Mus musculus: one gene and its partner. The protein of the gene in region 1 binds, or shares a complex with, the protein of each later gene. Links are inferred from orthologs where the notes say so. Each region holds a gene or a part of one and is shown on either strand. Other genes may lie near its edges. The genes, in order: Bicd2 and Bicdl1.

Evidence for each region.
Region 2: Bicd2 (region 1) and Bicdl1 share a complex: the UniProt entries of both Homo sapiens proteins name them as parts of the tripartite complex. The link is inferred for Mus musculus from reciprocal best matches to the Homo sapiens genes BICD2 and BICDL1.

Annotation. Positions count from the first base shown.
Region 1 is NC_000079.6:49,383,013-49,386,818, forward strand, and holds part of Bicd2 (protein bicaudal D homolog 2), read left to right. Parts: intron 1-30; coding exon 31-340; 3' UTR 341-1,958; coding exon of another isoform or gene 1,959-1,964; 3' UTR 1,965-3,806. UniProt on the Homo sapiens protein: Acts as an adapter protein linking the dynein motor complex to various cargos and converts dynein from a non-processive to a highly processive motor in the presence of dynactin.
Region 2 is NC_000071.6:115,728,676-115,733,167, forward strand, and holds the start of Bicdl1 (BICD family-like cargo adapter 1), read right to left. Parts: upstream 2,947-4,492; 5' UTR 2,885-2,946; coding exon 2,447-2,884; intron 1-2,446. UniProt on the Homo sapiens protein: Acts as an adapter protein linking the dynein motor complex to various cargos and converts dynein from a non-processive to a highly processive motor in the presence of dynactin.

The DNA of each region.
Region 1 (3,806 bases):
CAGCCTCTCAGCTGTGCTTTGTCTCCACAGGTGTGACGAATACATCACACAGCTGGATGAGATGCAGCGGCAGCTGGCAGCTGCCGAGGACGAGAAGAAGACCCTTAACTCTCTGTTGCGCATGGCCATCCAGCAGAAGCTGGCGCTCACCCAGCGGCTGGAGCTGCTGGAGCTGGACCATGAACAGACCCGCAGGGGCCGCAGCAAGGCCGCCTCCAAGGCCAAGCCAGCCTCACCGAGCGTAAGTCACACCTGCGCCTGCGCCAGCGAGAGGGCGGAGGGCGCCGGGCTGGCCAACCAGGTGTTCTGCAGCGAGAAGCACAGCATTTACTGTGATTAGGGCTGTGGGGCGCCGCACACCTAACGTCCGCTTCACCTCAACTAACCCAGCTGCAGCAGCGGGACAGCAGTGCTAGGCCGCTCCTAACGTGACTAACGCACAGAGGGCGGCACTCTAGGCAAGTGGCAGCGTTGGGGTACATCTGTAACCAGGACACTTTGAGCTTTGTGCTGCTTTTCATGCCACAGCCCCGCCCCCAGGATATACCATGTCAGTTGCTGTCCTTTGGGATGCTGGTATCAAAAGTAGGGGTGAAGCTGCACACCTTTGTGGAAGACAGCGGAGTGAAAGTTTTCCAGGGCCTCCAGGCACTGTTAGGGAACCCAAGGGTGAGTTCTTCCCTGGACACTCACAGGGGCAGAACCTGAGTTGAAACTTGCATGTTGCTCGCATGTGTCTAATATCAGCACTTGAAAGCAGTTTTGTGAGGCTCTAGCCTGCATCATAGGACTAGCCTAGGTTAGCTCGCTGTGGCTGGCATAGTTTCATGAAGAGTTTCCTTGTAGTTTGTGCAGCATCTCACTGCTAACCACATCCAGGATGGCAGTCCCAGAGGGAATGGACCATCTCTGGTTGCAGCCTGTGTTCTGCAGTGAGCCCCCACACCTCAGACACGATAACCATAGCCCAGGCAGACAGCGCAGCTGCTCCATCTCAAAGATCCGCATGCTGCTGTGTCCTGAAAGGTGACAAATTAGCAGGGCCTGAGGTCCTAGGTTTTCTTTCTTGACGAGAGTGTTCCAAGTGCCTGGTCAGACCTTGGTCCTTGGTTCAGAGCCTATTATTTGGTCCTTTGAGATCTGCAGCTTGTGCTTGGGTCTTTTCCTAGAAGTTGTCAGACCCAAAGAAGCAGTGTTTTGAGAACTACTAGTGCTCTACCAAACTGCACGGCACAGTAGAGCCCAGCTGTGTGCTAGGGGACTTTTTGTGGGCCCGGAGCTGTGCTCAAAACTGGCAGGTAAGAGTTGTGTGGTTCTCGGTGCAGTTTGTGGATACTACAGAAGGAAGAAAGGCCTCCGAGGGCTCTCCTTTTCCAGATGCTCTGTCAGTGCGGAGCTGTGGCATCAGATCAGGTGTGTGCTTTAGTGAGTTGTAAAACAGGACTCTGCTCAGTATTTCTCTCCCTGTCCCCATGGGGCATCTAGTCTTGAGACTCCATCTCCCATAATAGCTGCTTGGCTGTCTCTCCCTGTGGAAAGGCATCTTTCATGATGTGGAACAATTACTATCCAATATGGCCCTGTAGTCTCTCAAACAGCTTTCTCTTTCTCTCCCCTGGATCCTGGGGTACCCCAGTCTGCTCAGATTCTTGGCAGCACATGGTCGTACACTGGGGGCAGAACAGGCCACACGTGTCCCTTGCATGTCCATCCTGGGAATGGCTGCCCGCATGCCCACCCAACCTTCTGCCTTTCTTTCTCTTTGGGCCAGAACGCAGCTTCTCTTACACTGTATGGGGCTTTGTGGACACTTGGAGCCCCATCCCCTAACACACATGCAGGCCTCCTCTGCCAACTAATGTGCTCGCGCACTCCCAGAACAAGAGCTTTAGCTGTCAGTGAGCAGGGAGTGGCTCTCGACTGATTTCTAATGCTGTCTTGTTTTCTCCTGTTTTCAGCTGTAGAGTAGCTGCTGGGAGGAGGCGGCCACCCGGCCCTGTCACACAGCAGCCCCTCCCCCTCCCCTCCTGTGGCCCATGCAGAGGAAGGAAGGGCAGCCTAAAGTCCACTTAGAAATGTTTGGATATGCCACTGTAATTCTTTTCAAAATAGCATTCCCCAAGTTTTTAATGGGAGAAAAAAAAAAAAAAAGCTTTACTATTGAGAATGCTGCAATCTGCTGCTTGGGAAGGTCTCTGTGTGGCCGAAGAACCTGCTTCCACAGCCGCCGCGCTGCCAGGCTCTCTAGGGGCCTGCTGGACGCCTGCCACAGGCTCTCCTTATTACACATGCTCCTTTTTTATCCGATCAACCTGTGCACTTTTGATATTTTGATATTATATTTGCTTCCTTAATTCCTTGCATAGAGACGGTCTCCAGTGCCGTGGTCTGTGTTCATGGTCCTGTAGCTGTCCGTCCTGGCTCTGATGTGTTGACCTGCGTCAACTCAAGGTAGAGCTGTGCTCCATGGTGTGTAGCTAGACTTCGGGTGAGGCTCCGACCCGGCAAGGAGCTGGCCAGTGTATCCACGCTGTGGTTCAGCAGCCTTTAGAGGACACGGCATTGTGGTTCATGTTTGAAATTACAGATTTTAAATGCCATGTTCATTAAGAAATCCAGGGTATTCCAATTCTGGGGTTTTTCATATTGTATTATTATTATTATTCTTAGGAATAGTTCAATGTAACAAGAAGAAAACTTGACCTTTGCTCTGGTTAAAACAGTAATAGGCACTTGAAAGCATAAATTATTGAATGAGTAGTATTACCTACAAATTCCAGAGTTTTCTGGGTTTTAGGACATTGTGAAGCATGACTGACTAACAGAATTTTATACAACTGCACCAGTGAAATTCCAAATTGGAATTGTTTTGTTATTCTGGTTGTCGTGCCAAATTGTGGTACACTTAGAAAATTCTACAGCCGTCGATTTTCAGGTGTTCAATTTCAACACCTTTTTGTTAGTAACCATTGCCAGTAGTGCCTTCATCAGTTCAGGGAGGTGTCCCAGCCAGGTCAGGTCTCCAGGACGGGCAGCAGTGGAGAGCTAGTTGGGAATGCTGAAGGCCATTGTGGACCAGCAGGTACCTGCCTCACTCTGTACTTGGGCATCTTCATTGAGGGAGAGAGAACAGTGATTGTGCAAAATTCTGTTAGTCAGTGATTCTTCAATGCAAATTCAGGGGCTTAGAAACAAGACAGCACACAAACCTGGACTGTGCTTTGGGAACCAAATGGACTTCATGGGACAAGCTAAGCAAGCTGTACAGACATCACGTTTGTGAAGAGCTGAGGGCGTCAGGAGAGCCGGCGAAGTCGGCATGCGAGTGGGGAAGAGGGTTAGCCATAGTATTCTTTGCAAATGTGAAAGTCAGACATTATATCTTCTCTTGCTTGGTGTAACTAATCACTGTTAATTTCAGGAAACAGAAGTCAGTAAAACTCCTTAGTAAACTCCTTGCTAAGTGAGGTTCAGGGTGTGGTCAAATTGGTACTAGTGGAGGGAGGGAAATTGTCCTCCAGCCTAAAAAGGGACAAATTATAATAATATAAATTGTTAAGAATTGAAGAATTCTGTTTCCTGGAATGAGCATTTCTTATTCCTAGTTGTTGGGACTCTTTGCCTTCTGTTACAGTGTTGATTCATACAAAATATTGTTACATTTAAGATAACATCATCTGTATGGGGTATTTATTTGCAATGATGTCTAAGTACTGTATTTTTTCTGTGTGTTACCTTAGTGTCAGAATGTTGGTCTTTATTTTAAAAGTCATATGCATGTTCTCCTGCCAAGGCACCTTACACAG
Region 2 (4,492 bases), on another chromosome or scaffold:
TAGATGAATTAACATGGGCAGACAGGATATGCTTAGTGATGGTGCGACCCTCAACATCATCAAATAAGTACATTCATTAGCTAATAAGCAACTAGTGAATATATTTTCAAGTGTACACAAAAGAAATTTTAGAGTCAGGTACACTGCACACCTATGGTCTGGCTGGTTGGGGACTGAGGCAGGAGAATCTCTTAAGTACCGGAGTTCAAGGCCAACATGGGCAACACAGTGACACGGTGAGACCCTATCTCAAAAATAAATCATGCTTTTCAAACATACATACATACATACACACACACATACACGCACACACATATATATGTATATATACACATACACACACATATATATGTATATATATATATATACACATACACACATATACACACACACATATATGTACATACATATACATACATCTATCTATATTTATGTATATATACGTATATATATGAAGCAGGGTAAATATATGTAAGCTTTTGTTTTTAAGTTTTGATAGAGTACACATGACATATAATCTACAACCTTGACCACTTTTGCCATGTCCAGATCAGCAGTGTTAGGTATGACACTGGGCAACAACGCCCCCTCGCCGCCCGACCCCCACCCCCGAGTTTTAAAAGTTTAACACTGGCATTTAACACAAGCAGACCGGCACAAGAGTGTAGGTCTTCAATGATAGTATCTTCAGTGATAGTTTAAGCAGGTTAAGCTATTTTAGGCTTACCCATGGAGTCAATTACAAAATGTCAGAGGTCGTTATTTATCCCTTTACAGGAGAACCTTTTTGTTGCTGTGGAATTTTGAAATCCTGCCCTTACTGAGAACGCCACATGGAAACCAGGATCTGTGTAACTGTGCACCATGAAATCTGTCATTCATCAGACTGATAGGATGCTCTTTTCAAGCTCACAGTTTCTTCACTCAAGTCCCTCTCTGAAGGAATTTCCAATCTCCAGCGCACATCTCCGGGGTAGTCACTACTTTACAGTGTCATGTAACCGAATTGATTTGGAAAGAAAGGGACACCCTTGTATTTCCAGACCTCTACTTCAAGTGGAGACTAAACAAGTCAATTCATTAAGGTAGCTCTGTTGTACTCTGGCTGTCCGGGCCCAGGTTTCACAGACAACTTTTCAAGCCATGTATCAGGAGTCCATCGACCGGCAGGCCTCGATAACGGGCCCGGCTGAAACACAGGCCGCTCACTGGTTTCCTTTCTTCTGATTTAACTTTCGATAGGTGACTAGACTCTAGACGCACATCAATCCCACGGCAGAAGTGTTTGTCCACTCACATTCTGACCAAACAGAAGCAGTGGAGGAGAACCTGACAGAGGGCTAGTTTCGGGCCTGGTCACATCTGTACTATGATGTTCTCGTAATGAGAACGAGGAGAACTAGTCCAAGAAAAATGGGTAACAGTGCTGAACGCAGAGGGCCAGAAAAGCCTGGCTGTTTCCACAGCTCGAGCCTGCTCTCCTTTTTATTTTGAAAACCTACCACTTTGGAATGGCTATCTTTTTCTAGGTACCCTCAGTTACCATTCAAGACTCTTTCTGCTTAAGAGCAAAATCCCAATAAACACAGTTGTAGACGATGTTGTTGCATGGAATTAACAGAAATATTACTCATTTGAAAACGTACTTAGGATTATTTATTAACTGGGGTGTGTGTGTAGGCCGGAGGACACGTTGCTAGTGACATCCCACATGGGTTCTGAGGAACCAATTGGGGCAAGTGACCTTACCCACTGAACCATTTTGCCAGGAAACGACCCTCCCACAGGGGTGGGTGAGGGGAAATGTTTTTAGTAGTGGTTAAAAGTAACATACATGCTAAGACCCAGGACACAGGAAAGTACTACTGAGACACACATAGCTACTGAAGCCCAAACTAATCACATGATGAGCCCTGCCTTCTCTGATTTCTGCAATGGAACCACATCCCCTAATCCCTAAGCATTTGAAAGCTATATAAAGCTCCTTTCGAGGCACTTGTTCCCCACAACTCTCTGCCAGAAAGTTAAGACAAGGGCATCCAGAGGCCTTAATGCCCGGACTGGAAAGCTCTGGGCTAACACCCTGATTAGAGATTAACTGCTTCTCCGAACACCTGAAGCATATTTTAAATGCTTCTCGATGTTCTCATTTCTGTGTGCAGATATCGCCTTGGTGCTGTATAAATTAGTCATACTGTAAGCTCTATTTTAGACTCTGTGTACAATACATATATAGAACGGCCCACAACGGTGAGAGACGTGCACGGACTCACATCCGAGCTGGGTGGGAAAGGCAGGTGGGCTCAACGAACGCGCTGATGCTGGTGAAAACTATCCCTCCTGCCTCCCCGTTCTCGATGATCTTCTTCGAGGTAGACTAGGCACGGAAACGGGGAGGACAGGCAGGCACCCCAGCTCCCCACCCATGCCGCCGGAAGGTCCTCACCTCTAGCTTGTCCGTCAGCTCCTTGTGCATCTGCTCGTACTGCCGGCTCATGTCCTGGTTCCTCTCGAGCAGCGCCTTGCCTAGTCGGGCCGCCAACACCAGATCCTTCTCCTTCTGGCGGATCACCGACAGCAGCTCGGGATCCTGGGTAGGCGGCGGCGGCAGCGGCGGCCCGTGCCCCTCAACCGGAGACTCCGGCTCCGCCTGAGGATGCTCGCCGGGCTCGGACGACCGCTCCCCGGCCGCCAGCAACGCCAGCTCCTCCTCTAAGGCCAGTTCCAGTTCCCCGGGACCTCCGGGGAAGGAGACGAGGGCGGCAGCAGTGGCGGGACTCCGGACTGCGTCCCCGGCCCCAGCGGGCAGCTCCATGCAGCAGGCGCTGTCCGGCTCGGCGGGTGCTGAAGCTCGGCCGGCCAAGCCCAGGCAGAAGGCGGACATGGCCCGCGCGCGCCGAGCCCGCAGCGGTGCGGCCCGGCCGGCGCGCGCCAGGCTGCAAGGCGGGGGGTGGGGATGGGGATGGCGGGGGAGGGGCCCCGCCGCGCCGCCCCGCGCTTCGCCTCGCCTTGCGCCGCGGCACGCGCCCCCCGGGTCCCCGCGAGCCCTGGGCGCGGCGCGCGCGGGCGGGCAGGCGGGCGGCCCCTCCCCCGCGCCGGCGACACGCGCCCCCGCCCCCGGGGGGCTCAGCTGCTGGCGCGCGCCCGGGACGCGGACGACGGGGGTGGGCAAGAGCGGCAGAAGGGGAGATTGAAGAGGGGTGGCGGGGTGCGGAGCGGGAGGAGAAGCCGCGCTAAGGATCGCCGCCGCGGCCGGGGTTCAGCCGCCCTGTTGCTGCCGCTGCTGCTTCTGCTGCCGCCGTCGCCGCCGCCGCCGGCCGGCCGGCGCCTCACGGGGAGGGCTGCGCTCCGCTGTCGCTGCGTCGCTCGTTGCTGCTGCTGCCGTCGGCCGCTCCTTGCAGCCGCGCTCCATGTCCCCCGGCTCGGCGGCAGCAGCGGCGGCGACGGCGGCTGCTGCTGCTGCAGGGGCCGAGGCGGCGGCTCGACATCGTTGGCCGCACAGCCCCGGAGCAGTCCTTCCTTCTTGCCTGCCCGGCCCCGCAGCTCACCCGGCCGAGGAACCCGCCCGGCTCGCCCGCCGGGCTCGCTCCTCCGCCCGCCCGCCCCGCGCTTCCGGCCGCGCCCCTCTTCCCCGCCCCGGGGGCCGGCGCCTGACGCGCGCGGGCACCTGTTCGCCGCCGCGCCCGCGCGGGATTCGCCGACGCTCCGCTCGCCTCGGCCGCGCCCAGGTGGCGCCCGCCTAACCCGGACGTGGCCTCACGCGACGCGGGGACGGATGCGCGCGCCGCCCGTGGGGAAGCTCAGCGCGTCCTGAAAGGCCGGAGCCTCTCCCTCCCGTGTGTGTGTGTGGGGGGGGGGGGTGGGGACGGCCACGCCCCCGGCCTGGAGCCACGCCCTCAGCCTCGTTCCCAGCTCTAGGTGTGGCCACGCCCCCTGCGCGCTCACCTAAGGGTGCGGCTCTACGTCCACCACTTCTCCGACTCCTCCTCAGCTTGGCGCTCGGCCACGCCCCCTGCCTCGTTTTCGCCGGGGCCACGCCCCCCGCGCTCGCACCTCTGGGTGTGGCCTCCTCCTCCTCCAGACTCCCACGCTCTCACCCCTGATGGCGCTCTGCAGCGGCACGCGTCCTCTTCCTCGCCTCCGCGGCCCCAGCCCGCAGCCTCTCTTCGGTTTGGGGAGCTGGCGGGAGCCCCATTTGGATTGGGTCTTGTGGTGGGGTATCCTAGCTGGTCTGTGGTCCGAGGGGGCTGCGGACAATTATGTGAGTCAGGGAGCCAGGCGGAGAGCCATTTGCAGTGCGGGATTTCTATCTGAACCCCTGCAAGAGCTAAGCAGTCGGGAGAGGGAGCCCTCGAGAAAAGGAGGCGGAGGAATGACTTGGAGAACCCAGCATCTTCATACTGATGACTCAGGGATATGAGAGAAAAGGGTTTGTGGAGAAATAACGGGAGAAAACAAAAATCCTGCTTCTAGATGGGGGATACAAAGCACA